2 separate regions of the Mus musculus genome follow, and region 2 is reported to be linked to region 1. The links are microRNA targets in miRTarBase. Many come from high-throughput screens and were not tested one by one. Region 1 holds a microRNA gene; the other region holds the end of a gene's coding sequence.

Region 1 (16,134 bases):
ATGCCGGACATACTTAACAGCCAGAGTTCTCCAGTTTCCTTGCCCTGCCCTCCCCTTTTCTTCTCCCCTTTGCGTTCATCTCTATTCTTCATCTCTGTCACATTCTCTAGCCTCTCCCCCTTAACATGTGTATATGCTCTGGCATCTTCTCCTACTAACAGGGAGAAGGCCTCCCGCTCTTACAGATCTTGTCTGCCAGCAACTTCCCTACTATTTGACCCAAGAAGCTCCAGTCTCCAGGGTCACACTCCCTCCTGCTAGTATCTGTGAATTCCCTTTCTTTATCGATAAGGTTTTGTTCTGGAACTCAGGCTGGCCTCCAATTGGTGATCCTCCTGCCTAGTGGTGTGATTCCAGGTAGGCGCCTTCAGTCCTTGCTCCTCCCCTTTTATCTTCCACGATTCTTAGATGATTCTTTATACATCAAAGTATAACCTTATTCCTTCCCAATTCCTGAAATGCTCCTATGGGCCTTCTAGAAGTCAGGAGCATAGAAAATAGCTCTCCATAGCATCAGCTTCTTGAATTCCTATGCAAATCACCTGCAGACTCCTCTCCTGGTCCCTTCCCTACATTTCTCTTCCAGTACAGGTGGCAGAGCTCCACTGTGGCCTGGGTGCCAAAGAGGCCGAATGGAGAGAAATCACTGGTGTGACCAAAGTGTGTCAGAAGAGGCAAAGCTGGGCTTCTCCACTCTGCCTTCCAGTTGTGGCCAACAGCAGTGGCTGTGTGTTTTCTTTAGTTCTACCACCGTCTAGTTTTACTTTATCTATCTATCTATCTATCTATCTATCTATCTATCTATCTATCTATCTATCTATCTATCTATCTATTTATTTAAATTTTGGCCTCAACTTGGATCTAGTTTCTTCCAGATAGCTCATGTCCTACATTCTAATATTATTACCTCCCAGTGCAAACTTCCTAGCCAAATCAGGGACTGTGTCCTTTGATTCCTAAGGTCTTTGTTTCTTTACTAGTTCCTTTCAAAGTTATTTTATTTTATGTCTTCCTGTTTTCCTGATTGTAAGAAGGTTCACCACATGTGTGCAGTACCCACAGAGGCCAGAAGAGGGTGATAGATCCCCTGGAACTGTAGTTACAGATGGTTGAATGCTGCCACATGGGTGCAGAAAACAGAACCCAGGTTCTGTGTGAAAGCAGCCTGTACTCATTTTTTTTAAAAGACATTTCTTTCTTTTTTTTTTTATTAGATATTTTCATTATTTCCATATCAAATGTTATCCCCTTTCCTAGTTTCCTTTCTGAAAATCCCCTATCCCCTCCCCCACTCCCCCTGCTCCCCAACCCACCCACTCCCATTCCTGGCCCTGGCCCTGGCATTCCTCTATACTGGCAGCCAGTACTCTTAACCACTGAGTTCTTTAGCACCTATAGCTCCCTCTTTAAGTAAAACGAGCTACCTTCCAGGTTCACATCTCTTGAGCTGACCTTGAATGCTTGTTACTTTTTTTTAAGGTGCACAGTAACAAAGTTTATTTAAGACCGATTTGAAGACTTGGAAAAGAGGACACGTTAGTTTTAACTTCCTGTCCTGACCCAAACCAATGTCTGCCCTGAGGATTCTATCCCCTCCAGGGCTCTGTCCATCGGCCAAGGTTCATTTAGCTGTCAAAGCACTGGTACCCATGGGTCTAGAGGCAGTTTAGGGGGTCCCATTGCTCTCCCACACTCCCTCACTCCCTCAAACCATAAGTATCACACAGACTGTATTCTCCACTTCCCATCACTACTGCCCTTTGAATTATTAGTTCATGAGTGAATTTTAGTTGCCAGCTCCTCATTAGTTTCCCTTTTACTATTCTTTTCTTATTTTTGCTAATTTCAACATACATGTAAGTAAGGTCTCTAACTGCCCACTTTCTGTTCTGAATTTTCTCTCCGCTTTCTAACTGCCCTTTAATCCACCATCATCATTACTTGTCTTGGTAACGTACAAGGCCCTTTATTTCTAATAACTACAATTCAGTGTCTCAACTTTTGTGTCCTATCTTCTGATCACTAATCATAAGGTCTTATTTCTGGTCTTCTCTTTTTAGTATCTGAATTTCATCTATGCCCTATTTTAGCACAATCTGTTTATGATTTGTTTTCTGTCTGTTGGGACTGATTTTGTTTGTTTCTTTGATTACTTATTTTTTTAAGTCATGATGTCCTTCTTTCTGTCAATTATTGCTCACTTCTGTGCATACGTCCTCAAATACCTCAAGCCCCTATCTTGCTTTATTGTATTCAATGGCTTAGACTTCTACCCTGACGGAATTATTTTCTCTTTGCCCTGGGCCCTAAATCTGAGCATCTATGCACATCCAGGCAAAAGCACAACATGAATCAGGAACGTGATTTTCAAAAGACCCTTCACGCTGACTGAGAATCACCCATTCTCTACCTGCCATCACAGATGGTAGTTTGCTTCTTCTCTCATCTCTTTGTGCTTTGGTGGCAGTCATAGAGGTTTGTCACTGAGCTCTTCTGCTGAGGATCCGTCAGAAGCAGGAAGTAGCCAGATAGCTTGTAGGTACTGCACACTTCGGGTTCAGAGGTTTATATCATGGCGGTTCTTCACCGACACTGCCCAGGCCAATGACTGGAGAGTCTAATAGAGCTGTACCCTCATGTCAGATGCAAAACATCTGTAAAGTAAATCTTAGTGTAGAAGCTTTCCATTAGTCTCAGACTTCCAGACTCTCCCTGGAGTGGAAGGCTCTGCACATCCCCCTCTCTTCTTTCACAGGCACAGACTCCACATTCTCTTGCTTTCCTTCTATTATTTCTACATTTTTATTTATTTATACTATTTTATAATAAATGTCTTGCAATCTACTTTCATGTTGACAGAATTTGCTTTTTGTTAGAGCAGATATCGCCTTGGACTCTCAAATGGTCTCTATCATGGTCCTCCGATTCGAAATTTCTTCCCACTTGGTACTATAGATGTCCTATATATCCTATTTCCTGTAGAACAAACTCTACAGTTTGTTCATAAACCCTATTTCAACTTTGGTTTGTGGGAAATTTTCTCCAGCAAATATCTTCTCTTGTCTATGTATTTCTCCCCTCTCCCCATCTGTTCCCTGTATCTACTCTACTATTCATCTCAGTGAACAAACAGGAATTGCATCTCCATCCCCAAACAACAGCAACATTATTACTCAACCTCTCCAATGAGCCATCCAGCTGACTCAACTCCTTTTCTCCTAAATCCTTTAAGTGTTTTCCTATATTGTATTTCTATTCTTTTTTTTTATCTGATATTTTTTCCATTTTTTATTAGGTATTTAGCTCATTTACATTTCCAATGCTATACCAAAAGTCCCCCATACCCACCCATCCCCACTCCCCTACCCACCCACTCCCCCTTTTTGGCCCTGGCGTTCCCCTGTACTGGGGCATATAAAGTTTGCGTGTCCAATGGGCCTCTCTTTCCAGTGATGGCCGACTAGGCCATCTTTTGATACATATGCAGCTAGAGTCAAGAGCCCCGGGGTACTGGTTAGTTCATAATGTTGTTCCACCTATAGGGTTGCAGATCCCTTTAGCTCCTTGGGTTCTTTCTCTAGCTCCTCCATTGGGAGCCCTGTGATCCATCCATTAGCTGACTGTGAGCATCCACTTCTGTGTTTGCTAGGCCCCGGCATAGTCTCACAAGAGACAGCTACATCTGGATCCTTTCGATAAAATCTTGCTAGTGTATGCAATGGTGTCAGCGTTTGGATGCTGATTATGGGGTGGATCCCTGGATATGGCAGTCTCTACATGGTCCATCCTTTCATCTCAGTTCCAAACTTTGTCTCTGTAACTCCTTCCATGGGTGTTTTGTTCCCAATTCTAAGGAGGGGCATAGTGTCCACACTTCAGTCTTCATTCTTCTTGAGTTTCATGTGTTTAGCAAATTGTATCTTATATCTTGGGAATCCTACGTTTGGGGCTAATATCCACTTATCAGTGAGTACATATTGTGTGAGTTCCTTTGTGAATGTGTTACCTCACTCAGGATGATGCCCTCCAGGTCCATCTATTTGGCTAGGAATTTCATAAATTCATTCTTTTTAATAGCTGAGTAGTACTCCATTGTGTAGATGTACCACATTTTCTGTATCCATTCCTCTGTTGAGGGGCATCTGGGTTCTTTCCAGCTTCTGGCTATTATAAATAAGGCTGCTATGAACATAGTGGAGCATGTGTCCTTCTTACCAGTTGGGGCATCTTCTGGATATATGCCCAGGAGAGGTATTGCTGCATCCTCCAGTAGTACTATGTCTAATTTTCTGAGGAACCGCCAGACTGATTTCCAGAGTGGTTGTACAAGCCTGCAATCCCACCAACAATGGAGGAGTGTTCCTCTTTCTCCACATCCTTGCCAGCATCTGCTGTCACCTGAATTTTTGAACTTAGCCATTCTGACTGGTGTGAGGTGGAATCTCAGGGTTGTTTTGATTTGCATTTCCCTGATGATTAAGGATGTTGAACATTTTTTCAGGTGCTTCTCTGCCATATTTCTATTCTTACAGCCTATCTTCTCCCATTGTTCTCAATGCAATGCAACCTAGCTTTCATTCTTTTACTTTGTTAAACCCAAAATGTACTCCTTAAAGTCAACTTTGGTCTCTGAATGACTAATTTTAATGGCCAATTTAATGACTCATGTTGTATCTGACACAGTGGATCACTCCCTCTGACTCCCCCCTCCCCCCTTCTCCTTTTAATCTATTGACATCTAGGTCATCTTGACTATTTTTCTCCCTCAGTTTTCATTTTCTTGCTATCTGTCTTCAAGGACTTATTAATTGCAATGCAATGCTCTAGAACTACACATATACAGTTAATTATATTTAGGCACAAGAATGTGACTGCTTCTACTGCAAGTCACATCTCTAGCTTGGACCCCCTTGAGATTCAGGCTTACAAATCTTATGTCTAAAGAACCTCTGTTTTATGTCAGGCATTTATCTTGGTACCCAGCAGCCAATTTTCTTTGACTCCAGTTCCTGAATGATAAGTTCCCATTAACCCTGGCTCAGTGGCCCCCAACCAAAAATGTATAACTGTGACTGTCTACTTGTTGTGATTTGACTAACTGATCTTATTGCTTTTGGAACTTGCTTACACAGATGCCCAAAGATTATTTTGTGTTGCCTTAATCACTTAACTTGTCACAACAGAACAGCTTTTTACTTGCTTGCATAGATATTGAAGGTCTTCATAAGGTTTTTTCCCCTTTGAACGCCTTTCCTCCTTCCCCTCCTTCATAGCAAACAAATGCGGCTCAGAGATTGTTCATTCTGCTAGCAGCTAATCAATAAATCTTTTAATTATAATTGGATTGAGTCTATGGTGTTTTCCCAGGGATCACAAGCTTTATAACAACACACCAGTCTGCCTATTTGATATGTTTGGATGTAGCTTAGCAGACATCTCAAATTAAGCAAGCACCAAGTCAATTCCCTTATTTTCCCCTACAGTCATGCAAATCGTTTAGAGCTCAAGCTAGCTTTGATATTGTCAATGATATCTTAGTACTAATGCTATCCAGCAACTCAACTCAGAAGCTGTAGGGCTTTCCCATGCTTCTTTCCTAGTTTATGTAAGCTGCATTTAGGACTAAAACAAAACACTTCACTATCTTCCTCATTGCCATCTCTAGCCATCCCTCATCTTAATTATTCTGACATCTATAATTGTTCCTCTGACTTTATCTTTTGCTTCCTTACACATTTAGTTTTTTTCAATACATTGCATAGGCAGATTCTTTTTAAAAGCTCACCAACAGTACTACTTTATTTAAGACTTAATAATCATTGTATTCAGAGTAAAATCCACCTTTATAATGGCGGACAGGCTCTCTATGGCTTTGACCTTGTGTTGCTGACCTCACTTCCTTCCCAGGTCATCCTGGCCTTTTCACTGATTTCCTGACAAATTAAGTAATTTTTAACTCTAATAATAATAAGTAAATTTAAACTGTAATAATAAGAAGGCATTTGCACTAGATACTACTCCTTTTGTTCCAGGTCCCACCCCGATAAATCTCCCATCTTCCCTTAGACCTTGCTCAGATCTCAGCTTCCTGATGAAGCTCAGTTAGATCTCTTATTTTGGTTGTGGTTCCCTCTGCATGTTGATCTCCTCTTATTGACCTCTACGCAGCTCCCTACCTCCGGTTAAAATAATCATCTCTTAATGTTCTAGCTATGTTACATGCCATGTATAATGTCCATCTCATCTAAATTGCATGTCAGCTCTATGGAAGTAATGTTTTTTTCAGTTCTCAATAGTAACATAGTACCTAAAACAGAAGGGGTTCTCCATAAACCACTATGAAATGATGTATAGCTAGCTATTATAGTTGGTTAATTTGAAAAACAAGCAAATTAAGTGTCAAGATAGTATGAGGTCCAAACATGTTCTAGTCCTTGGCTTTTCCACCTATTAAACAGAAACAATATTCACATCTATTCTATAGGCTTGTTACAAAGTCTAATTGAATTTGTTTAGTGTAAAAACACTTAGCAAAGTGTTGAGTACACAATGAAACCTTAAGATGTATTCATTATTCTTTTGGGGTGTGTCTGTGTGTGTCTGTGTCCGTGTGTCCGTGTGTTCGTGTGTCCGTGTGTCCGTGTGTCCGTGTGTGTGTCCGTGTGTGTGTGTGTGTGTGTGTGTGTGTGTGTGTGCATGCGTGCGTACGCATGTAGCTGGAGAGTGAGTGCAGAACCTTGCATGTACTTGGCAAGTGATCTACTCATTTATATTGGCAGTTCTTTTTATCTTAAATTTCGATTGCTTTTATTTTTGAGGTATGATATAATCACAATATTTCCTTCTTCCCTTTTCTCCCTCCAAGCCTCCTATAAGCCTCTCCCCATCCTCTTTAAATTCATGATCTCTTGTTTCACTAATTGTTATTGCATGCATATATGTATATTGGTATACATATATATCCCCAAATACAACCTGTTCAATCCAGTAATGTTACCTGTATGTATAATAATGTTACTCATGTGTATACTTTCAGAGCTGAGGAAATAAACACAGGAAATGTGAGCAAAGTAGACAGGCTTTGTTTCCTCCACCATCTGAGCTTGTTCTTCTTTGACAGCCTCACTAATGGGGAGTCACCTACTTAGAGGAGGAAGGGGTATGGATATGAGAAGGGAACAAGCTCTTCCCTCAGAGTGGAGTCTCATGATATGCTCAGAATCTGCCTTCTGCCAGTGAGGAAGTCTGGCAGCTGTTTTTCTGGAAAGGTCTATAATTCTTATTGACTCCTGGTCCTAGAACAAAAGATTTTAAAGATAGTAAGTTACTAACATTTCTTAGCGGTTACCGTGTCCACTAAGGACCATATGCCATTTTACCTGAATGGACTCACTTCATGTTGCAAATAGTCCCTACACAGCAAGCACCATGACCCTTCCCTGTGGGGCAGTGGACTGTGCCACCAGACGGAAGAACTGGTAAGGTCGTAGCAAGTTCAGAACACCGATAAATCTCATAATTGAGAACAGCAGCAGTTCGATCTAGCTCCCGACCAGGTTCTGGTTCTGCAGCACGTGACTAGGACAGCCCACTAGGAGGACCTTGACAACTGCTCATGTAGCATAGAGCCTAGAGTTCTCTATATAATGAGACATTTGGATAGGTCTCTAGTGTTTAGCCAATGGGCTTCCCTTCTGGCAAATGGTATTTAATCTCTGGTTTACCTTGAGTGTTTTCATCCTCATCTACCATGAATAAAACAGTTTGGACAAGCAAGGATTGTCTCTTTTATCAAGGACTGCCTGGGAGACCTTCCTCCTACAGAGTCAAGCCTATGACTCCCATAGAAGGCCCCTCTACTTCTGGCACTCACCGTGAGCTAAGCTGAATTCCCCTCTCCTGGACTCATTTTGGACCTGCTGGCTCCCATTCCCAACTGCTCCTGGTCTCCAGCAGTGTCTGGGTACACAGGAGTTTGAGAACCACAACTTCCATTCTAGCCCCCGCTGTTTCTTACCGGGAGAACATGGGCTGGGACCTCTGTCTTCGACAGAATTTCACCTTCCCAGCGGCATGTCGGTGGCCCAGCATCCCACGAGTCCAAAATCGCAGCCACGAGGCAGAAACATAGAAAGGCACTTCCCTTTTGGCAGTCGAGGAAACAGAGGTACACGGAGTGAGCAGCTTAAATAAGTAGTGCAGAATGGCCTCCGAGCAACCCCCAGGTCCTGCAACCCAGCAGCCGCTAGAACAGCTATTTCTGCAATGTCTGAGCCCCAAATCCACTGAAAGTTACAGCTTTCAATCTTAGCAGCTCTGTTGTGGGCTAGGGCACATAATAAGGTATTGTGTAGCCTGTTCTTTCATTTTCTATCTGCTTCATCACTTCAGGAGGAATGAACATGAAGCGGAGCGACCCCATATGGGCAGGACCACCACGGTATCCTGGTATCAAGGAACAAACAGGAAAAACTCCTGATGAGAAATAAGCCAGACAACAGGATACAGTAAGTGCCCAATGCCGACTTTAAAATAGTTCGTATAACTGACTTTAAAATAGTTCTTATAACTCAGACAGCAAGAAGTAGAATATTTAACAGAGAGAAAGGGAAACATTGTAACTAGAACACAACATCAAAATTGGAGTGAAACGTCCTACATCAAAGAGAAACGGAGCATCTTCACGGGTTGAATGATAAGGAATAACTGCCCAAGTATTTTCACTTCTCAAATACATGAGGAAGATCAGAACTTATGATATTAAAATGTTCCAGATGCTTCAGGCCTCTGGTTGACTCTCACAAACGTAAAATCTGGAAGAGGCCCGGGTCAGGAACTTCTACGTACATCAGATCTGGAGTTGGTAAGAAGGCAGACACGCCTTTCCCTGCAGAGTGAGGTCTATGGACCTGTGATTTCATGTTGTCCCTTGGGATTGTCTTCAATAAGAGACCCACCCAGTTAAAAAACCAACAATAACAACAACAAAAAACCTGATCTGATTTATGTACAAATCAAAAACATTAGTTTACCCAGAAGATTCATATCCAGCAAAACTTTTAGAAGCTTTCAGATATTTTGGGTTCTCTCCATTTCCAGAAGGAGGCAGGGAAGGGCGCCAGGTTGCATCTTCCGTCATTCCTCTTTCCAGACAGGTTTTGAGAAGTAATTAAATCTGAGAAGTAACTCATTTCTAGACACTCTTGGCTGACTTTCACCCCACAGTTTCAACGCTAGCCTGCCAGATGTTTCTGAGGACAGAGTGAAGGATTGGGGGTGAGATGACCATGACAGCAGATATCTGGGGCATGTGAAGAATGCGTGATCCTGGCTCAGCGCCGCTGGGCGTGCTGCTCTTCTTTCCTGTGAATTCGTGGTTCACCCCTGCAGCCTCCACCCAGGAAACCCCGTCCCTCCTAAGCACTTCCCCAGCTCTCCAGCCTGTGTTCCTTCCCGCCCCCCCCCCCAGTATTACCTGTCTACTTCATGCTGTAGTTAGTTGCCTCCCACTGGACTTGGCTCTTATTGTTATTTGAAAGCAACAAGTTATATAAAAGGTATTACATTTTAATAACACTTCTTATCTATCTATCTATCTATCTATCTATCTATCTATCTATCTATCTATCTATCTATCTATCTATCTATCTATCATCTATCTATCTATCTATCTATCTATCTATCTATCTATCCTTTATTTGGTTTCTTTGAGACAGGGTTTCTCTGCGTAGTCCTGGCTGTCTTGGAACTCTCTTTGGAGACCAGGCTGGCCTAACCTTCGAACTCAAGCAGAGATCAGCCAACCTCTGCCTCCTAAGTACTAGGATTAAATGCATGTGTCAGTGTCACCAAGTAGTGCTTTCTTTAATAGCCCCACCCAGCAAGCTCAGTAATTCAACACCATCATCTAAGAGTCTTTTTCCATGTGAGTCTCCTCTTCCCTCCTCTCCCCTATTTCAACTCCTTTGTTTGTACCTCTTTTTTTAAAAAAATATTTATTCATTCACTTATTTTTGCTACTTACGTTACTTATATTGTTCTCTTGATTTGGGCTTCATTTTCTCCTGAGCAGCTTTCAGACTCTTAGAATGTTTGAGGTAGTGAGTCTTTCGAGACCTTCTCTCTCAACCATCTAATCTGAAGATAAACATGCTGAAGCTCAGAGAGGTCACATGGTTCACTGTAGCGCAGAGGCAGAGAAAAAAAAAAAAAAAAAAAAAACCTGGGCAGTTATTCCTCATCATTCAACCCGTGAAGATACTCTGTTTCTCTGTGTTGCAGGACAATGTTTTATGCCAATTATGATGTTGTGTTCTAGTTACGATGTTTCCCTTTCTCTCTGTTAAATATTGGTTGACTTGAATGCAAATAGAAAATGTTAATATTTTAAAAGGAAGGATTTTGGAGGTAGGCAGGACAATGGTTAAGAGCTACCATGACAGAGTAAGCTGGCCAAACTACCTCCTTTCTTCATCTGTGAAATGGGGTCAGCCAAATAGTCCTTATCTCATTGAGCTGATAGAGATATAGGTGAGGGTGATGGAAAGTTTATAGGTTGGACCTTTGTACACGACAAGTGCTTTATGTGTTCTGTAATCACTTTTTCACACGGCTGTGTTTCTCACAGAGCAGAAGACTTTACTCTTACCTTGCCTTCTGATTCAACTCTTAGTGGTGCTGTCTGCTCTCCAAGGACCAAATCTTGGCTCCTTCAAAGGCTTATGGGAACAGTAAAAGTTTGCAGACATATTCATTTGGAAGGACAGCTTGTTCAATTTTACAAACATATGGAATAATAATCCAGTACAAGAAGGAGAACAGTAACATTGTTGTAGATATGTAGAGGATATGTAGAGGATATGGCCGGCTGAGTAGGTGACAGACACTAATTGAAGGTGTGGGTTTATCAGTGGAAAGAAAAATCATTTAGAAAGTCATGGTCAAATTTGTTTTAATGGAACAGATATATTCTCTATAATAAGAGAAAATTGTTTTGTGAATTGGGATGCAGTCTTATTTATTTGTTTATTAATTAATTAATTGTCTTTCTATGTAACTCTAGATATCCTGGAAGCTGCTATATAGACCATGTTAGTCTTGAACTCCCAGAAATCCACCTGCCTCTGCTTCCTAAACGCTGGGATCAAATGTGTGCCCAATATTATAATTCATTTCTTACTTTGATTCCTCATTAAAAATTGAGAAAGCTTCGGAGTTGGAAACATTTTATTTTGGCAATGAACAGCAATTATTCTTTTTTTTAAAAACTATTTTTAAAAAGATTTGTTTATTTATGTATATGAGTGCTCTATCTGTATGCCAGAAGAGGATGTGAGATCTTCTACGTGGTTTCTGGGAAGTGAACTCAGGACCTCTGGAAGAGCAACTAGTGCTCTTAGCTGCTGGGTCATCTCTCCAGTCAAACAGCAGTCATTCTTAAACGACATAGTTATTGGGTTAATAGATTTCTCCCTCTGAAGCCCTTATTTTTTGAGAAGGCTCTTCTTTATTTATTTGCTTAGAGGAAATTTACATTGTTGGAAGAGTTAGGAAGAGAACTGTCACATTGTAAATTATCCAAACTGATCTAATCACAACTCCTTCTCAGGAATAATATCTACCTTGAAAGTAGAGCTTTTCCTGATTCTTCACAAAACAGAGTGTGCATGGGATGCATTGTGAGGGCATCGGGGAGGAATCCTTATTCTTTGATCAGGTGGGAGGCTCTCATCCCATCTCTTTTAGCATCCACCAAAGACTACACTCTGGCTACCTTAACCACACTTTCTGTACTGATGCTTTGTGATTCCCTTTGTTTCTTGTCAGCCTATGATTGTCCTTTAAACTTTTACTTGCTTTTATTTCTACAGTTAAAGGGACTGGGGGCCCTGTGTGGAGGAGAAACCCCGGTAATTAAGGTTGAAGTGTGACATCTGAAAGCCCTGAGCCTGGTGCAAAAGGTCAGACTCTCTTTACCAGCAGGGCTTCTCCTTCACTGACCTTGTCTGGGGAGCTCAAAACCCCCATGTCCTTTACCTTGAGAATGTTGTGTAGTCTTGGCTAGATTACAGGTTTTTTTTTAGCACCTGAGGTTCCTGGGGTGCCTCCCCATGCTAGTGAGGCATCTCAGAACCTTAGCCCGAAGCCAGTGACCTTTGCCCACCCTGGATATTTCTACCTCCTTCCCCAAACTACATAATGCTTGACTCATGCCAATTAAAGTTGATGTGTCTCCCCGAAGCTGATCCTGGAATGTTGCCATTTCCATTTGTACTCCCAGGCCACCCGAAACACTGGTCAGCAACTCTGTTCCTTTGTCCTGATGGGCTAGTGGCCAACGAACCCTGGGGAGAAAGGAGGCCCACAGTCTGGAGGTGTTTAAAACAGAGCAAAATGCTGCCTTTGGCTTTCTCTCCAACTTGAATCCTAGAGGTATTCCATCCGATAAATTCATCGACTCTACCAAAAATGGATATTTGCTTTAAAATCAAGATACAATTATGATATATTATAGAATGCATATAAAATGGGATTTTAGAGTGAGACAAAATTAGTGATTTTATAATAGAAATAATTATTTTGTCAATATTAACAATTAATACTTGTGTTATATTTTAAATCAATGTGACATTTAGAAACAAGGAACTCCCAGTATAGTTCACTTCTATGCTTGAATTTAGTGACAAAATATGAGAAAAAAGATGCCTTATATCAACCTAGACATCCAAATTAAATAGTGTACCATTTGATATCACTGTATCACTCCCATTTATAAATCTCATACACTGATAATGCTAGAGTTTTGTTGAAAGAGGCTTGCATTACTTACCTTCCTTTATGCGTCTTTTGGAGGATTTTAAACCAAGCTAGACAGTTTTGTTTTCAGGTTCTTAAATATTCAGATGAATTAGCTTTATATGTGATGCAAATTATGTAAAGTAGAAACACAAGTGCATTGGCACAATGTTCATCACCCTTCATTTTCAAATTATTTCTCTTACATGTTCTTTTGAAAATATCAGCTATGTCTTCATTTATCACCATTGTAAAATTTGTGGCCCTTAAGAAATTGTGACAAAGTGATCGAAATTTACTTCCTTAAAAAGTTTTTAGACCACACACTGTAGTGTTGATAACTATAGGTACAATATGTCTTATGACTTGTTTATTGGAAAATTATCCTTGAACATCTACCCCACTTTCTCCTGATGCTGGCAGCTGCCGTTCTGATCTCTGTTTCTGTGAACTTGACTTGAATATAGATATATTCCTAAATAGAAACCACTCCGTTTGTATAATGTTACTTGTTTTATAAAACATTACACATTTGTTCAAGGCCAACCATTTGGTATTGGACAACTGATTTGTATGTTCTCCCCTGGGGGAAGACTGTCTCTCCCACCCTCAGCAGTCTTTGTCTATAGTTCTTTGTGCGGGTTGAGGCCACAAGGGCTTTCACCTATCCCTTTTGGAGTGTCTACTGCTATCCTTGGTCAGCCCATGCTTAGGCAGTCAAGTTGTTGCAAATTTGTGAGCATATCGTCTGACATTACTGGGAGAAACAGTCTCACAGCAAATTCCCTGATTCTCTGGCTCTTGTAATCTTTCCCTGTTCTGCAGTGTCCCATGAACCTCACATGTGGGGATTGTTTTTAGATATATCCATTATCTCCACAACATGGCATTTCAGTTGGTTGTGGTTTTTTTGTAATGCTCTGTGTCTGTTGCAAAGAGAAGTTTTCTTGATGAGGGGTAGGTAAAGACTATATTTATCTGTGGGTACAAGAACAAATACTTATAATGCAGTTTGGAATTGTCTTAGCTTAGAAACAGTAGTTGTAGGCTTTCCTTTAAGACCCATCACTTCAATAGCACTGAGTAGTTAGCTTGGTTTCCAGCATCAAGCATGGATTCCCTTTGATGAGCTGGCTTGAAGTCCAATTAGAGAGCTGTTGGTTACGTCTGAGGCATGTGTGCCACTATTGCACTGCTAAGGTTATTGTGCCATGCTGGTCATTTTTGTGATTCATAAACATTACACCTGGATAAGACTGTTGGTTTTGAAAGATCCTGACAGAATGTAAAAGGACACAGAAGCCCTGAAATTGGCAAGATAGATGTCAGTGTTAGCAGAACTAGCTTCACTGATTTAGAAAAATAGAGGTGCACAATGCTCTGGCCACTCCTTGAACCTGTGTGTTTGCCAATGTTCCTGACCAGGTGTGTGCCCATTGCTGAACCTTCATTAGGCTCTTTCCTTGCCTCCCTCCCATACCCATTTCTTGAAGAATCAATCATTTTAGAATAGATATTGTTTAGATCTGGAAATCCCCTACTCTCCCCCTTCTCCTTTCTCCCCTGAGGGCCTATAAAAACTGGGACCTCTTTCCCCTCGAGGTTAACTCCTCTACCCCTGCGTGGGATATGAGTCGTCCCCAGAGCTCTGGCTTTCCCCGAATAAAGCTTCATGTGGTTTGCAACAAGCTCGGTCTATCGTGAGTTCTTGGGTGTCCGCTATTGTCCTGAGGCCTGAGCGAGGGGCTCCTTTTGGAGTCTTTCAGTTTCTTCCCTCCTTTGAAAGCTTGCATGACATCTTTTGGTGGCATGTACTCAGGGAGGAGACATTTAGACATCAGTTCTAGCTCAGGAGCCTCTGGGCCCTGTATCTGAAGTATATGATGCCTTCAAAAAAAATAGAAACTTACTTTTCATCTCTGGGTGGTGCAACCAAGGGAAATGGCAATAGTCTGTAAGGTTTCAGGAATCTCTTGGATAATCCTGGGAAACAACTCAAAAGAGGGCTTCCCATGTTAGATTTGTTAGATGATCTTTGGATCTTGGAGGGAGCATTATCCGTCTAGATGAGAAAATTTCATTTAAACCATATATCTGTATTTATACAATGACTTGTATGTATTTTAGTTTTGTTGTGGGGGAGGTGGTAGATAGTTAATAGTCTAAGTGCTTTAACTTTTTAAGATATTGTTACTGTTATTTTACCGTTCTTCCCTTTTCATCTTTATTCATCTTTCTTCTTCTCTCTAATTAGAGGCTCATTAATTTCCCCATTTTTCTGATCAGATTATTTGTTTCCTGCTATTCCCACCGGTTGTGGGAAATATTAAAAAGAACTGCACCATTTGTGCAATACCCAGCTACTCTCTGCCCGGGTTCTCTCCACCTCTGGGCTAGCCCCATAAGGCAGTCTTTCCAGCTCCAGTTTGCTCACCTCAGTGCCACTTCTGCCTTCTCAGCCATCTACCCCTTTTGGCTAGTTGTTCCAAATCCCTTTAATCCAGCAAACCAAAACTCTAGAAACTTATAATTAATCAGTCAGATTTATATATCAATAAATTCTCAATTCACAAGATGCCCACACAATAATTTCAGAGGCAATTGATAATGATATAAATTGCCCACCTAGTTAAGACAAATTGTCCTGTAATTATCCATCCCTTATAAGATAGCCATAGCTACCTGTGGCTATTTAAGGCCACGCTGTATCTGGATCGTCCTTTTCTTCATTTATCTTCCTTCCTTTTCCCTCTGTTCTCTCTCCCTCCGTCTCTCTAAAATCCCCGGCCGGCCTCCCTTTTCCACTGCCGAATCTCAGGCTCCTACCTCACCTTGTGCCTGCCCTCACCTGCATATAGACAGCAGTCCACACCCACCTACATTGTTCCTCACCTTCTATATTCTGACAATAGTCCCTTTTTACTTTCTGGGTTTCTGTAGTCGGTTCAGGCTATGTACTCACACCTGAAAGTTTGGAGCTAGGAGCCTCCTATGAGAAAGAACATGAAGAATTTGTCTCTTAGGGTCTGCGTTACCTCACTTTATATGATCTTTCCTAGTTCAATCTATTTACCTGCAACGTTCATGATTTCAATTTTCTTTACAGCTAAATCATATTTTGTAGTATATATGTACCATATTTTTTGCTATTCATTCATCTTAGAAGAACATTTAAGTTGTTTCCATTTCTTAGCTATTGTGGCTAAAGCAGCAATGAACATGTCTGAGCGAGGGACTGTGGGAGAGTATGTTGGTTGAGTTTGTTCAGCATATGTCAAGGAATTATACTGTGATTTATTTACTGTCTATATATTTTTAAAGATGAATTGTTATTATTTA
Region 2 (16,134 bases), not on the chromosome of region 1:
GGAAAAACTGGACCACCTTTCCTCACAGATAGTCCTTTGAGGACAACCTCTTCATTTTAGCTGAAAGTGGATTCTTAGGAAATTAACCTGAGACTAAACCAGTTGGTTTGGTTTGGATGGGAAGGCTTTAATAATCCTTACTGAAAAGACCTGTTATGCTTCCTTTGTACACCGATTTCCCTCACCCTCACTCCCTCCCAACAAGAACCAGACAAAATGTCTGCCTGTCAAACTTCTAGAGAGATCCCTTAGCTAGACCTGGTTGAAAGGGGGAAGGCCGGGGAGAGCTCACTGGGATGTACGGTACTGACAGGGTTGAGGAGCCTAGCAGATCTCTGTTTAAATCAGGCCTGCCATATGTAAAATGGAGGTAATGACAACCAATGTTGCTGTTGGAAGAGTAAATGCAATAATTGTATGAGAGGTATTTAGTATGATCCGGCAACATGCTTTTGTAAACGTGTGCGTTAATAAACACACAGGATGCTTATTAAATCGTGCCCATGTGACCAGACCTTGGGGAATGAAGCAGGAGACCGGAAGAAAAGAAAGGAGTTGAACAGAGGCACTCAGGAGCTCTGATGCCAGGAGGGTTTCGTTTGGTTGGTTTTGTCTATTTGTTTTGAGATAGGCTCTCTCTATGTAGCTCTGGCTGTCCCGGAGGAAACTCACTATTTGGATTAGCAGGCTGGCTCTGCCTAACTCTGCTTTCCAGTAAAGGAGATTGGTTAAAGGTGTCTGTCATGACACCCATCAGGAATTCTATGTATTTATTCTGATGGAGTCTTGTTATGTGGCCCTGGCTATTTAACTTGTGGTAGTTCTCCTGCCTCAGCTTCCAAGTCCTGGGTTTGCAAGCACATGTTACCACACTCAGCTAGAGAAGTGCCCTTTAGAATCATTAGAATTGAGGCAACCCTGGGTTCTTCCCCATCACGAATAGTCTCTGCGTGCAAGCCATCTTGGGAAGGGGACCTGATTTTTGATGAAGTGGCTCTCTCAGGCAGAAGAAATAATTTCTTGCAGCTGTCTTTGAGAATAATTACTATTCCCCAGTCCTGGGCAATCCAGTGTCCATCTCAATAAGTCACTCAGGATAAACACAGCTATGTAGATGAGCCAGGAGTCTGACCTCAAAGCCTGATCCATACTGACTGTTAGTAATCTAATACTTCTTTTCAAACATCTGTAATTTGGAAGGAGGTGAGGCATGGAACGGAGGAAAGCAAGGTGTACCAGGTAGGTACTTGTAGCTTTGCCAGTCAGTTTAGGGTGAGGGGAGGGAGGTAAAGCCGGTCACATCACTGACACTTGGGGAAAAGGAAAAAGGAAGACATCAGCTTTAAACTTTTGTGCTCATCTCCCCATTGCTATCTCTCCCCAGTACCCACCCTGGAAACGGTCCTCCATTGACAGGAGCTCCACTCAGACCGGAGAACTGACCTTGCTCATCTAGGTACTGAGAGAGTCCACAGGAGCAATTCGAGGGTGCAGACCTCTCTTAACGCCCATATGTCCTTTAGCGCTCACCTTCCATGTTTGTCCTTATGAAAGTCCACTGAGAAGCCAAAGTGGCTGCCATTGGGACCTGCATAGACGGAGAACTTCTCAGAGTCCAGGTTCAAGGCCCAGACTGGAGGAACAGCACTAGGACCCAAGAACAGTGGTGTCCACTGCAGAAGCCACAGGGAATGCCATGCGCAGGAGGCTCTGGCCATCTTCCTTCTTCCCAAACGTCCTAAACAGGAATGGGCCAGCTCTTTCCCTTTCCCTGAAGTTCCCACCACCGGAAGTTTCAGCTTATCAGACTGGAGCTCATGGCTGAGCAGCAGGCATGGCAGAGGGCAATAGCCTCTAGACGTCGACTAGGACGGGGGAGGGCCCACCCCGGGGATGGATGCTGATGGCTGGAAGTCACTGCTTCCCCTTCCTCTCCAGGAAAGCTCACCTCCATGTCCTGTTGTCTCTGTTTCTCAGCCACAAGCCCGGCAATCCCCTTTCTCTTTCTCTTCCTCTGTCACTGTGAAAGTCCAGCCACCATCCCTTTCTGCCTGGGAAAGTATAACCATGAATTCGCTGCCTGGCTCACTTTGCCATGGCCCACAGTTGTACAGCTCTTACCTCCCCCATGCAGCTGACCATCCTGCTCTTGAATGCTGTGATGTGGCCAAGGGGAGAGGAAGGAGTAAGCAAGCTGTTCTCCCCTGATAAGACCAGAGGCTGTCATCATTTTGAGTAGGACATTTACCCACTTCCTCCCCCATGAGCCTTTGGGCAGCCTCAGCCGGTTGCATTTGACCATCACTTTCCTCACGTCTCCATCTTGAACCAAGTCTTAGTGTGGTTACACTGGAGCCTTCAATACTGGGCAGAGGGGTGATGAATGGGTCTTGGCCTAAGTGGGGGGAGATGGAGCTAAAAGGACATCATTCTGAGGTGCGGCGTTCACAGTCCTCGAGGTTGAGCACCAGCTGTTCAAGTGAACAGCTTTGCTCCTTTTTGGTTGACAGTATCTACATAAATAAAATAGATTGAAAGATAGCTAGAATAGAACCTTCCAGAACTGTTTGTGGACGGAGTCACTGACTAGGAGAAACCTCGTGAGTCCTCAGGATGGCACCATGGCATACACACACATGGGCATGGTACCTGATGGCACTTTTTACTGGGTTGAGTACCCGAGTCCTTTGAGAGCAAGGGTTCTTTCTGCTGTCCTAGGGCCTAGCCCACAGCCCAGCATGTAGTGCTGCTGAAAGGCTGAATCTGAAGTCTTCCTAAAGGATGGAAGGAGTAAACAAAGTGAGGAGGGTCAGATTCTGCGTAGAAATATTCTTCTCGGGCTGGAGAGATGATGGCTCAGTGGTTAAGGGCACTGACTATTCTTCCGAAGGTCCTGAGTTCAAATCCCAGCAACCACATGGTGGCTCACAACCATCCATAATGAGATCTGACACCCTCTTCTGGTGTGTATGAAGACAGCTACAGTGTATTTACATATAATAAATAAATAAGTCTTTAAAAAAAAAGATCCTTCTCTATGGGGGTAGGGGGCAGAGAGCAGAAGAGCACCACGCATGCCCTGATGGTCTTGCTTGCCTTTTGCCCCAAGGCAAAGGGTCGTAGGACTATAGCCACACCCTCCTTTAAGTCTTTTCTTTTTTCCCCTCCTTTTCTGCAGTGCTAGGGATAGCCTTTCGAATGCAGGACAAGTGCTCTACCATGAAGCCATGTCCCCTCCATCTTTATTTCCATGAATTAACCACTGCCTTATCCTACTTTACCACTCTCCCCTCTTCTGAAGCACTCCTAACTCTTCCCTTCCTCGCATGCCTCCCCTTAGCACACAGCCTAACATTTTACCCCTCACTAAGCAGAAAGCTCCTTGGATTTTATTCAGGGCTCTCTTCACTGGTGTGTTTCCAGTGCCAAAACATGACAGGTATGTAGTCAGTCACACACCAGTGTCTGCTGACCCTCTGTCTCCCTACTGTTCCCAGATAAGTGCTTCCTGAATTGTTGGTCTGTTCTGTGTAGCCCAATATTGACTCACATCACATGGTAGTTTTTTGCCTTACAATTAAAAAAATTTTTTTTTAATTTATTTACGTATGTGAGCACACTGTCACTGTCTTCAGAAACACACTAGAAGAGGGCATTGGATCCTATTACAGATGGTTGTGAGCCACCATGTGGTTGCTGGGATTTGAACTCAGGACCTTTGGAAGAGCAGTCAGTGCTCTTAATCCCTGCGCCATCTCTCCAGGCCCTTGCCTTGGATTTTTTTTAACCACAGTTTAAATCCGTTTTGTGTATGTATGTATGTATGGGCATGTGTGCCAAGGCATGAATATGGGGGTTCACAGCTTTTTTTTTTTTTTTTTTTTTTTTCCGAGACAGGGTTTCTCTGTGTAGCCTTGGCTGTCCTGGAACTCACTCTGTAGACCAGGCTGGCCTCGAACTCAGAAATCTGCCTGCCTCTGCCTCCCAAGTGCTGGGATTAAAGGCGTGCGCCACCACGTCTGGCGGGTTCACAGCTTTTAAAAATTGGTTTTCTTCTACCATGTGGGTCTCAGGAATTGAACTCCAGCCATCAGGCTTGGCACTGAGTGCTTTCACTCACTGAGCCTTCTCCCTGTCTTTGTTCCTTCACTCTTACCCCTTGTGGCCTCTTTTCAAATCAGGGTCTCAATAGCCCAGGCTGGCCTTAAACTTCAGATCTTGCTGCCTCCACCTCTGGAGCTGAGACTCCAGGGATGCCACTACTAATGCTGGTTTATGCACTGGAGTAGACTCTTTGTTGTTGTTTTTCAAGACAAGATTGCTCTGTGTATCCATGGCTATCCTGACATTTTGTAGACCATGTATGTTAACCTCAAACTCAAAGAGATCTGCCAGCATCTGCTTCCCAAGTGCTGGGATTAAAAGTGCATACCATGTGACAAGCTTTATTATTATTATTTTTTTAAACGTATTGTTCACGTGTGTGTGCTTATTAGCACCATGTGTGTACAAGTGCCACAGAGGCCAGAGGGTTTTGGTTCTGCAGTTACAAGCAGTTGTTAACTGCCTGATGCGGATGCAGAGAAGAGCAGTAAAGCCTCTTAACTGCGTCTCTCCAGCTCCACTTACCAGAGTTTTAGAAAACAATTTCTATTGTTTGAGACATAAAAGCTACAAAGACAAGTCAAGAGTCTTAACTCAGTCTAGAGCAGGTTAAGCCCAGGACACTCAGGACCGCCACCCGGGGACAGCAAGTACGCCTTGGAGAACAGAAATTACGAAGTGGCTCTAGAAAGTGGATCCGGCTGGGACTATTTTAGGAAGACAAAGACTAGCCTCAGCAGAGTTCTGGGTATACTGTCCACAGGTGGAATGCCACAGGTAGGATTCAAGCACAGGTTGCTTTGTCTGGTTGACACTGGGAATAATACACGTAACCAGAGCAGGAGACCAGAGCTCAGGAATCAAGAGGAGGAAGTAGAGGGCTAAGTGAGGAGTGCGTAAGGGGTGGGTGGGTTATGAGGGCAGGAATGGCAGGCAGGGACTCACAACACTGAAGGGGACTTGAACGCCACACTAAGGAATTTGAACATCTATTTATCAGAGATGGAGCGTTCTAAAGATTTTCATTTTATTTGAGACAGGGTTTCACTATGCAGACCAGGCTGGTCTGGAATTCGAGAGATCTGCTTGCCTGTTGCTCCCTGAGTGCTGGGATTAAAGGTTGTGTTAACATGGCCAGCTATCTAAAGATGTTAGGAAATCAGAGATTAAGTCACCAGGTTTAGTGAGATGGCTCAGGGGCAGCAGAGGTCTGCAGGCTTAATGGTGCGCGTTCCATCCTCATTGTACAAGGTGGCAGGGGTACCAGCTCTACATGCTTGCCAGCGTTCAAGTACAAAATAAAATTAGGAAACAGATTGTGCTGGCTAGGTTTATGCCAACTTGACATCTATTTATCAGAGATGGATAAGCTAAAGTCATCTAAGAGGAGGAAACCTCAATTACGAAAATGCTTCTTCCCTCCCACCCACCCACCAACCCCCTAAAAAAAAAAAAAAAAAAAAAAGAGAGAGAAAGAAAGAAAATGCTTCCATGAAGACTGAGTTGTAGGAGGCAAGGGCCCAGCCCATTGTGGGCGGGGCCATCCCTGGGCTGGTGGTCCTGGGTTCTGTAAGAAAGCAGGCTGAGCAAGCCATGAGGAGCAAGCCAGTAAGCAGCACCCCTTCACGGCTTCTGCACCAGCTCCTGCCTCTTGGTTCCTGCCCTGAATGAGTAGGAATTCTGACTTCCTTTGATGATGAACTGTGATTTGGAAGTGTAAGCTGAAAACCCTTCCCTTCCAACTTGCTTTGGTCATGGCATTTATCACAGCAGTAGACACCCTAAGACAGTGAGATTCAATTTAGAATATGACACTGGCTGCCTGTGGCTACAAGGAATGGAGAAGGAAGGAAAGATCTTGTGTTAAACCCAGCTGGGTAGGGCAGAATTCTGGGTTAAAGGTGGTTAAACGCCTGAACCAGATGGTTAAGAATGAGACAGCAGGGCTGTGAGATGGCTCAGTGGTTAAGAGCACTGACTGCTCTTCCAAAGGTTCTGAGTTCAAATCCCAGCAACCATGTGGTGGTTCACAACCATCTGCAATGTGATCTGATACCCTTTTCTGGTGTGTCTGGAGACAACTACAGTGTACTCATATACAATAAATAAATAAATCTTAAAAAAAAAAAGAATGAGACAGCAGAGATGGACATAGTGACACAAGACTATAATCCAGCAATTGGGAGGAAGATGACACACCAAGCTTGAAGTTAGCCTGAGCCTTATACCAACCCACCAAGGCCATCCAAGGTGACAGAAAAAGCAACTAAGTACAAAATTAGTAGCTGGAAGTGACCAAATGTCCTCCAAAGGCTTGGTCCCTGGCTGGCTGATGGGGTGTGTTACCATTAAATAAAACCAGATGCCTGAGGTGGGAGGACTGCATTGCTTTGGTGTCAGAACTGGGTTATCTTGCGTCTGAAAGTGGGTTGAGGACTGGCTTTCCTATTCCATCAGTCTGTGGGCATGGAATGCCAAGGAACCCAGTTCTGTCTAAGCATCATTTAATCTACAACCATCAAGCTTCTATTACGGCTTTTTCATCTCTTTTTACGGAGATCTAAAAATTACCTTGCTGGACTGGTGAGATGGCTCAGTGGTAAAGAACACTGGCTGTTCTGAGGTCCTGAGTTCAATTCCCAGCAACCACACAGTGATGCATGACCATCTACAAAAGGGATCTGATGCCCTCTTCTGGCATGTAGGTATACATGTAGACAAGAGCATTCCTACATTAAGAAAAATGTCCTCTCAAAGCTTATGATTGACTTTTTTTTTTTTTTTTTAAGACAGGGTTTCTCTGTGTAGCCCTGGCTGTCCTGGAACTTACTCTGTAGAGCAGGCTGGCCTATGAACTCAGAAGTCCACCTGCCTCTGCCTCCTGAGTGCTGGGATTAAAGGCGTGCGCTACTTTACTTGAAGCACTGAATGTAGGATGAATGGCACTTGGGTTCAGAAAAGATGCAACGCTTTAATGGGGCAGGGGGTTAGATTCTAGCCAAGGAACGCCAGCTAGGAAAGAGCTGGTTGAGTTGGTGTGGGTGAGGTGGAGCTTTCTGTGGCAACAAGAATAGATAAATAGTCCTCCAGGGTGTAAGAGGGAGTACTTTCATGTTTCAAGACTAGCTTGGCTGAGCCCTTATCAGAATAAAACAACTGACTTGACAGAGCTCAGGCTATGCGGCCTTGTCTTTTCTGCTTGCCACCTTCCTTGCTCTCAGAAATGCACTTTTCAATTTCTATCACTGTCTGAACAAAGATGCTTGGCATTTGAAGCACAGTTCTGAGCACTCAGCTGTGGTAGCTAGAGAGCAAACAACTGTATCCAAATAAGGGAGGAGACAGACATCACACAGCTCTGAGATACTGAGGAAGAGGGAAGCCATCACTGGACCCCTTCCATGCCAGCTCTCCCTGCCCCTCCTGATGTGACTTCCTGGTGTGGATGAAGACTTTTGCTGGCTTCAGGCTTATAGGCCAGGCAGAAGCACTCCAACATTACAGCGGTAATCAGAGTTGACTATGGTAACTCAAGCCTGGTAATACAGAATTTCACCTGGAGGTCAAAGGCTCAGCAGATGAATCTTAAGTGCACACTTCCAGTCACCTGCCTAAGACTGGAAAAGCATCCAGGTAAAGCATCTTAAGGTAAACTAATCCTGATCATGGGCTACCTGAGTGCTCATAACAATTTTCAACATTTCAAGCTAGCCTAGAGGGCCCATTATCAGACTGCGTCCAACAGGACACTGTTTGTAACCCACACTCCCACCTGCCCCAGCCTATGCAGCAGCAATCACAACAGACTCCACTAAGTTTGCACAAAGCACTGGTTTATTAGAAAGCTCCTTCCCCTCACTTTACAGCATATACATCTCTATCATATGTGATAAAGTTAGATACAATCTGTTATGCTTGTATGTAAGGATAGGTTATCCCCCCCCCTTTTTTTTTTTAAAGTTTTAAAATCACTATTCTGGAAGTTAAGGAAAACTACCTCCAGGATGGCAGAGGCGGCCAGAGCATGGCTAGATCTACAACCTAACGAGAAGCAGCACAAAAATGTTAATACTGTTTTATTTAAATATTTACACGGGCTGAAAGCAAGAAGAACCAGTCCCTTCACTTCAAACAGATACCGTTTTTCCAGGGCTAGTTATCCTAAAAGTGATACTTGTAAGGGGACAATGAGCAGAAGGTAGGAGAAGCTCAGGCAGGGACGGGCCTCAAGTGCCCAGCACTCACTTCCCTAACACAGCCCACTCTGCTGGGAATTTGAGAAGGCAGGAACAGAGAACCTTGGCCTAGGCAAGCAGGGTTAACAGTCAGTTGACTGCTTAACCAGTTCTAGTCATAGGAAGAGCACTAACAAAGGAGATGAGACCTGCATTACAAGCACCTTTGGGTCAGTGTTAAGGAGGGCTGAGAGCCTGGGGGAAGGGCAAAGGGGAGAGGGATGGACAGACTTCTGGTCAGTGTCACTGGAGAAAAAAAAAAAAAGGAACCTCTACTGCTGAAATAGCAATCGAGCTGGGCAGACGGCACAGAACTTTGAAGCCAAAAATCTCTCTACCTATAAACGTGCTCACCTCCCAACAAAGAGAGAACTGTCCCAACTCTAGTATCCTCTGGTCTACTTCTATTTTAGTGTCTAGCCAACCCACAAGGCACATTTAAAAAATTGTCAGAGGGGGCTAAATACTAGGAAGGCAAATAAGACTGTCTGGAACAAGGTACCCAGGGAAACCAAAGGACCCCTTTTCCCAGACAATCACCGAGTGTCACTGCTTCCAGAGAATAAAGCTGTTGAACCAATCCTCCCCTCCTCCATGGAGTCCACGGTTTCTCTGTATAACAAAGCACGTCAGGGAGACCACTGCAACTGTGCATCCTCCTGACAGCAGCAGCCGCCTGCTGCTCATCAACCCGAGAGTCCCAGTGCAGGATGAACCAACTACTGCAAATTATTTAACACTGTCCCAGCAAACAAAACAAAACAAAAAAAAGTGTCAACATTTTTATATAGTTCATAACTTCAAAAAATACAGGAGGTTGATAAAATATACATGCTTAGTCATTTTTGCATCTAGCAGAAAACAAATATTTTATTTTTTTTTCTTTTATAACCTTTAAAGTTTCTTAATTCAACTAGGGCAAACATATTTACAGAAAGCCACCAGAACAAGGATCACTTAAAGAGCTGGATGTAAAAAATATTATTGCAGTATACTACAAATACGGAACCTTTTTAATATGAGCTACAAAAAGCAGCATTTATGTTTATAGAGTTCAGTGCAATTTTACATTAAAAAATCCTATAAATTAAGAAGAAAACATCAACATAACAGAAGGAAATATACCCTTCAGACACGAGCTCCTTTCTGGGAAGCACATGGGTGACCCTATGTTCAGTGTAGCTTCTACTCACGATAGGATCTTCTTTTCTGGGATATGTAGATGCCTCTTCTGGGATGAGGGGCATGAGGACAGTAGTGCCAAATGCATGGCTCTGTTTGTAAGGAAAGTGGATCAAATTGCAGCCTGAGTTGCTTTTGGTTCTAGGTTAGACTCCCTCTTCCACCTCACCTGGGATAACGTGTCACAAACGGATAGTCAAAGACACTGCCGAAAAGTGGAGTTTTCACCACTGAAGAGACAGCCTGGCCTTTCTCGTGGCACTGAGAAGGCAGGACCAGATGGGCCCATGGCAAGTGCTTTGGTGACAACCCATTAGAGGAGGAAAATGTTTTGAACTTACAGAGGGGAAGTGCAGAGGATCAGAAAGTAGAGGGAGGAAGGAGGCTTACTTGACAGTCTGGAGATGTTGCTGCAGAGGAGTGTGGGTAGCACTTACTGGTGTTCCCTAGCTTAGAAACACAGGAGGGAGGGACTAATAGAAAGGGGGTAAATATCCCTGATAGTAAACCCAAAGCAAACCTCAAATCTAAATCCATCCCTGCAAGCCAAAACTCATTTCTTTGGCTGTCAAGACACTGCCCGTTCCAGCTTTTACCTGCTGGTATAAATGGCTCAACACCCCCAAGGGAAGAACAGGCCACCTTCCCTGGCTCAACACAGGCTTCCGACTCCCAACTCAAGTCCCATGGCTGGGAGGGTGCTGCAGGTCCTGACCTGAGAAGATGGGGTGAAGCAGTGGGTGAAGATGGAGGGCTGTGGCAGCTGCTGCAGCAGGCCGTGGGGCAAGCAGGGTGGGGTAGAGGGCAGCGTGTGGGACGGGATGAAAGGTGAAGGGCCCAGGATGGATGGCTGAGGCAGGAATTATATGGATAGGGTGGCTAGCAAGAAAGGTGGCAGGGTGGCCAGGGATAATTGAGTGAGTGAGATGGGACAAAGAAATAGGGGTTAGATGGGGCTGGGGAATATGATGTACTTGAGCAAGCGGCTGAGGGTGGGGGTGAGGGTGAATGCCAATGGCGGCAGCAGCGGCTGCAGCATGATGCTGTAGGATGGCATGCTGAACAGTGGTGATGGAGGTGGCAGAGGCTGTGGCTGGCTGCTGAATGTGGATGGGCTGCAGGGCTGGTGTGGCTGGAGCTAGGGCGGTGGAGGCTGGAAAGGCCTTCACTTGTTTGGCCAGAAGCTGCTGCTGGATGTGCTGCTGTGCAGCCTGCTGGAGCTTGCTGTACTTCTCCATCTCCTCAGGGGTGAAGGTGATGGGCTGGCTCTCGAGAGGAGCCAAGGAGGCATCCTCAGTCCCATCTGTTGATTCAATACTAGGTTCCCCACTGGGAGGTGCATAATTGGGGAAGTGCTCAAGGTCTGGGGCTATAGGCAGCAAGCTGGATTCCACAGGGCCTGGTTGACTGCCACTATCCAGAGACTCCAGAGTATCCCCATCACTGGGGTCCGGGAGGTAGTTATGGGAGATGGCTGGATCCCCAGGGTAGCAGTCAGTGTGGGCTGGGGTGCCTAGCGGAGCCACAGAGTGATCAGCAGTAGCTTCTTCAGACTTTGGCTCTTCTGGGGGAGGGTCTGATAAGGGACCAGCTGCTTCCTCTGAGAACTGATGCCCAAATGGAGCATCACTACTCCTTGGGGACCCTTCTTCTGGCTCTGAATGTTCCTGCTCTTCTCCCCTTTCTAAGCCAGACTCTTCACATTTCTTATTGGACTTCCGGGTAGCTGGAAGCTTCCCTATCATTGGAAGAACAGGCTTATTACCAAGAGACGGGGGGAGCTTAGGCCCAAAGTAACCTTGTGGGGGGTTCTTGTACTTGAGCCCAGCCTTATTAGGGGTGGCCAGCACCTCCTCGCACACATTGGGTTTCCTCTCCACTTTCCTGGACTGGATCTTCTCTAGCAGCAGTCTGGCAGTAACAGAATTCTTATCTTCAGGACTGCAGTCACTTTCTGACCCCCTTCCTGTGCCAGTATTGCTATTCTGGGAGGGCAGGCCTGCTCCTTTACTGTCATCTCCTCTGCCATCTTCTTTCTTTCCAGGACCTTCTCCCCGACCTGATTGGAAATAGTGGGGGGATTGAGAGCGGTAGATCTTTGAACGAATGAAATCCCGGCGGCCAGAGCGCCTTTCCTCTGGGCTCTCATGACCCCATGAGCCCTTTCTGGAGCCTGATCTCTGAGAAGGGCTCCTGGTGCTGCGGCTCCGGTCCCGGCTATAGCTTCGGCTTCGCTGCCAGCTGTGGGCTGTGGTGCTGCGACTTCTCCTCTTGCTTCGACTGCGACTACAGCTGCTACTGCGGCTTCGACCCCGGGATCTTGATCGCTCCCTTGTATGACTCCGAGATCGGCTTCGGGACTGGCTGCAACTGAGGCTATAGTCATCATCAGATGATGAGTATTTGTGTCGTTTAGACCTGTGTTTGGAGCTGGTATAGTCTGAATCATCTGAATCGTGAGAGCGCTTAGAGTGCCTTCGTGATCGGTCGCTATAGTCACTATAGCTATCATCAGAGTAACTGTGCTGTCTACTATAGCAGCTCTGGTCTGAAGAGGCATCAGAGCTGCTAGAATAAGAGCGCCGGGAGGAACGATGTGAGGAATGGCGATGGCCAGACCGAGAGCGGCTACGAGAATGCTCACTACCGGAGTCTTCATCTTCCTCCTCTTCTTCCTCCTCCTCCTCTTCCTCCTCCTCACTGTACTGGGATGGAGACTTCTGGTGCAGTCGGTGTGAGGAAGCATCATCACTATCCTCATCACCACTACTGGGTTGGCTCCGATGGCTGGACCGGCTGCTATGTTTGGTGTTAGCTCTCCGCTGGCAGGAGGAAGTTGGTGGTTCACCTTTGTGTTTCCTCCCACTGTGATCTTGGCAACTGCTACCACCCCCACCATCATCCTTCTTGCCACTGTTTCCTTCTTCAGCAGGAAGGGATCTCCGCTGGGAATCATCTTGAGCTCGGCGCCGCCTTCTCGGTGGTGCCGGGCTGCCGCTTCCAGGAGGTTCTGATTTGGGTCCGCGTTCAGAATCAGCTGCGGCTGATGATTTGTTCTTCTTCCGTTTTCGTTTCTTGCGCTTCTTAGATTTCTCCCCAGACTCTGCCTTAGAACTCTTCTCTTCCGTGTCAGCCTTGTGTTTACGTTTGTGCTTGCTGGATTTTTTGTGTTTCTTTTTCTTCTTGTGTCTGTGAGACTTGCCTGATGGTTCTTTCTTGCTAGGATGGCTTCTCCCAGTGTCTTCAGTTTCTGACATATGGCTACCCCCAGGCTCCTGCTTGTTCAGGCTGCTACAGGCAGCCCCTGATGCAGGTTCATCCACTCTGCCTTCTGAAGAGAGCACTACATCCTGCTCCTCTTCCTGGCTTTTATTCGGTTCTCTAGGATCAAGGCTCTGGAGATGATCCTTTGAGGAGCCTGCGACATCTTTTGGCTTTTCTGTCCCTTTAGCTTTAGCATCTTTGTTTCTTGAAAGTTTAAAGTCAAAGTATAAAGGATTACAACTGTAGGAGATGGAAGGCTCTGCTTTGGTGAAAATGAGTAGTTCTGATGGCCACTGGAGGGCAGTGCTTTCATCCTTGCTTAAAACTGGAAAGAATGGACCAGTAGGATGCTTGGGTCCCTGGCCTGCTTTTGTTGCTGGGGTGGCCTGAGAAATGTCTTTAGGATTGGACTCACACATCGGGCTCTCTGACGTCTCCCTACTCTCTACACTCTGCTCATCTTCCCCTCCTCCGGAGCCTTTCTTTGTTTCAGTTTTACCTCCAGGCTCTGAAGGCCCAGCCACAGCGGCTTCCTTTTGCAGCTCAGAAGCTTCACTCACTGTTCTTTCTGCCCCTGGGCTTGCTGCTGTCTTACTACAGCCTTGCGGCTTGGGAGAGCTGCTTTTTCTGTTCTCGGGGGCACTCTTTGAGTGTGCACTATGATCCCCTTCCATCTGTTCACTGGCTCTCATAAAGAGTAAGAAGGGGAAATTAGGTTTGACCTTGCAGTGTGCTGGGGGGATGTAGTGGTAATATTCTGGCTCTGTAGCCCCTGTTCCTTCTTCCCGTTTCATCCTTTTCAACTTGGACAGTGTTGAGGCAAGGGACCCTCCATCCTGAGGGTCTTCATCTTCTTTCTTTCCATCAAGATTACCAGTGCCATCAGTATCTCCCACCTTCTGCACCCCTTGGTCAGAGCTCTTCTCATCAGCCTTCGTTCCATCTTCTGAGCTCCCTTCCTCTGCATGGTCCTTGAAAACGGATGCTATTGATTCAAGTTTGACGGGAGCTTTCTTGGCAAAGGAAAATGATACTCCCAATTTCTGCAGTGGGGGTCCCAGATTATTCTTAATGCCAAAGCTAATACCTTGGGAGGCTAAGCCAGGAGCCTGTGACAGTCCAGTGGTATTAGTGATCTGTACTGACGTGAAGGAGCCCCCTTTATCTGTGGAGAAGTCGGCTCCAAAGCCACAAGAAGAAACAGCACTTGCACCACTGTTGGTTGATGACTCATCTTTATCCTCTTCTCCACCATCCTCGTCTACAGCCACCGTGGTTGGTCGGAACATGGGCCCGCTTCCCGGTGCACTATACAGTGGTTGAGAAAGTGAGAAAACAAAAGAGAGGATTCGAGTTATAGATCTTATATAAAACATTCGTCTTTTTTGTCCTTCCACTCATCATAGGTTGGTCTCAAAGATCCAGAGTGGCTGTCCCTAGCAATGTGCTGATGAATGGGACTTATTGAACGGAGGTAGGCAAAGTTTCATTTGGTTCAAGTACCAGGTTAAATTCCCAAGGCCAGCAAGCTATTGCTATCCTTTAAGCTGTTTGCCCTACAAAAAGGCTCAACTTCTTTACCAATAGCATCTCACAGTTTCGTCTTTAATCTGTTACCAAGCCTTTTTAAAAAAAAAAAAAATTTTTCTCTGGGGCTGATGAGATGGCTTAGTGATTAAGAACACTGGTTGCTCTTTCAAAGGTCCCAAGTTCAGTTCTCAGCAACCACATGGTAGCTCACAACCATCTCTAAAGGGATTTGATGCCCTCTCTGGCATGCAGGTGTACATGCAGACAGAGTAAATCATGTATTAGAGCAATCATATATTTAAAACAAATTTTTCCTTTTCATTTTATTTTAAGTTTATGTGCACATTTTGCTTTTATGTATGCCTGTGTATTACATGTATGCATTGCCTTTGGAAGTCAGAAGAGGACGTTGGATCCCCTGGGATTAGAGTTTATAAAAGAATGTGAACTGGAGATTGAATCCAGGTTCTCTGAAGGGCATCTAGTGCTCTTTAACCACTGAACAATCAATCTCTCTAGCGCCCCCACTTTCAAGATTACATGTATTTGTTTACTTGGGGAGGGGGGGAGATAGACAGAAAGAATGCATGTTAAAGGTCTGTATTTAGAGGCTAGAGCTAGTTCTCTCCATATACCATGTGGATTCTGGGGTTTGAAATTAGGTGGCAAAAACCTTTACCCACTGGGCCATCTTGCTGGGCTTGCAATCTTCCTACCACCCTACCGTAACCTGGCATATAATCAACTATGCGGATATACAACCATTCCAAAGGTTATTCTACAGGGCATGGTGGTTTAAGCCTTTAAGCACAGCACTTAGGCGGCAGAGACACAGGATTACTATTGAATTCAAGATTGGTTTCATCTATGCAGTGAGTTCTAGTTCATCCTAGACAACATTTAAAAAAATTTCTCTTTCTATTTGTGTGTTCATTGATGCCATGCCATTCATGTTGAGGTTAGGACCTGAGAGTTGGTTATCTTCTTCCATTACACAGAGCTGGTGGGAAGCGTTTCAAACTTTACTTTTATTTTATTTATTTATTTATTTATTTATTTTTGAGACAGGGTCTCACTATGTAGCCTTTGCTAGCCTAGAACTCATTTTGTATATAGGCTGACCTTCAACTCAGAGGTTAGCCGGAGCATTAGGAATAAAGCTATGCCCTACCACACTCCATTCAAATTTCTTTTTTTTTTTTTTTAAAGATTTATTTATTTATTATATGTAAGTACACTGTAGCTGTCTTCAGACACACCAGAAGAGCAGAAGAGGGCATCAGATCTTGTTACAGATGGTTGTGAGCCACCATGTGGTTGCTGGGATTTGAACTCCGGACGTTTGGAAGAGCAGTCGGGTGCTCTTACCCACTGAGCCATCTCACTAGCCTCCTTCAAATTTCATTTAATAAAAAGGAAGGAAGGAAGGAAGGAAGGAAGGAAGGAAGGAAGGAAGGAAGGAAGGAAGGAAGGAAGGAAGGAAGGGGAAAGGGGAGGAAAAGGAGGAGGAAGAGGAGGAGAAAGGAGTAGTAGCAGTAGAAGATACTAGTTTGAATCCAGAAGGCTGGATTTACAAGTATATATGCAGCTTACAAATTTAATATATACACATACACATTCTGAATTAAACATAGCTGGAAGCCTCTACTGGACTACCATGTGGTTATATTTGTTTTAGAAATCAGATGGGCAGTGGTGGCACACACCTTTAATCCCAGCACTCGGGAGGCAGAGGCAGGGGGATATCTGAGTTTGAGGCCAGCCGGGTCTTCAAAGTGAGTTCCAGGACAGCCAGGGCTACACAGAAAACATGACACTG

Evidence for each region. The annotated mature microRNA mmu-miR-5118 reads AAGGUUAGGCCAGCCUGGU and lies in region 1 at 9,761-9,779, opposite strand. An mRNA with a match to its seed (bases 2 to 7 or 8) in the 3' UTR can be bound and repressed. Matches are read on the target gene's strand: a 7mer-m8 pairs with bases 2 to 8, a 7mer-A1 pairs with bases 2 to 7 and ends in A, and an 8mer does both.
Region 2: miRTarBase lists Gpatch8 as a target of mmu-miR-5118. Seed matches in the 3' UTR shown: 8mer at 9,664-9,671 and 7mer-A1 at 8,033-8,039.

Annotation. Positions count from the first base shown.
Region 1 is chr16:55,488,415-55,504,548 of GRCm38, reverse strand. It overlaps Mir5118 (microRNA 5118), which reads right to left and starts at 9,818; the gene lies at 9,752-9,818. It overlaps Gm45968 (a long non-coding RNA gene), which reads left to right. Exons shown (of 6, transcript XR_001782016.2): 2 at 8,392-8,507.
Region 2 is chr11:102,467,995-102,484,128 of GRCm38, forward strand. Gpatch8 (G patch domain containing 8) reads right to left here. Exons shown (of 8, transcript NM_001159492.1): 8 at 7,921-14,093. The coding sequence ends at 10,199. It overlaps Itga2b (integrin alpha 2b), which reads right to left and starts at 1,889. Exons shown (of 30, transcript NM_010575.2): 1 at 1,531-1,889. The coding sequence starts at 1,718.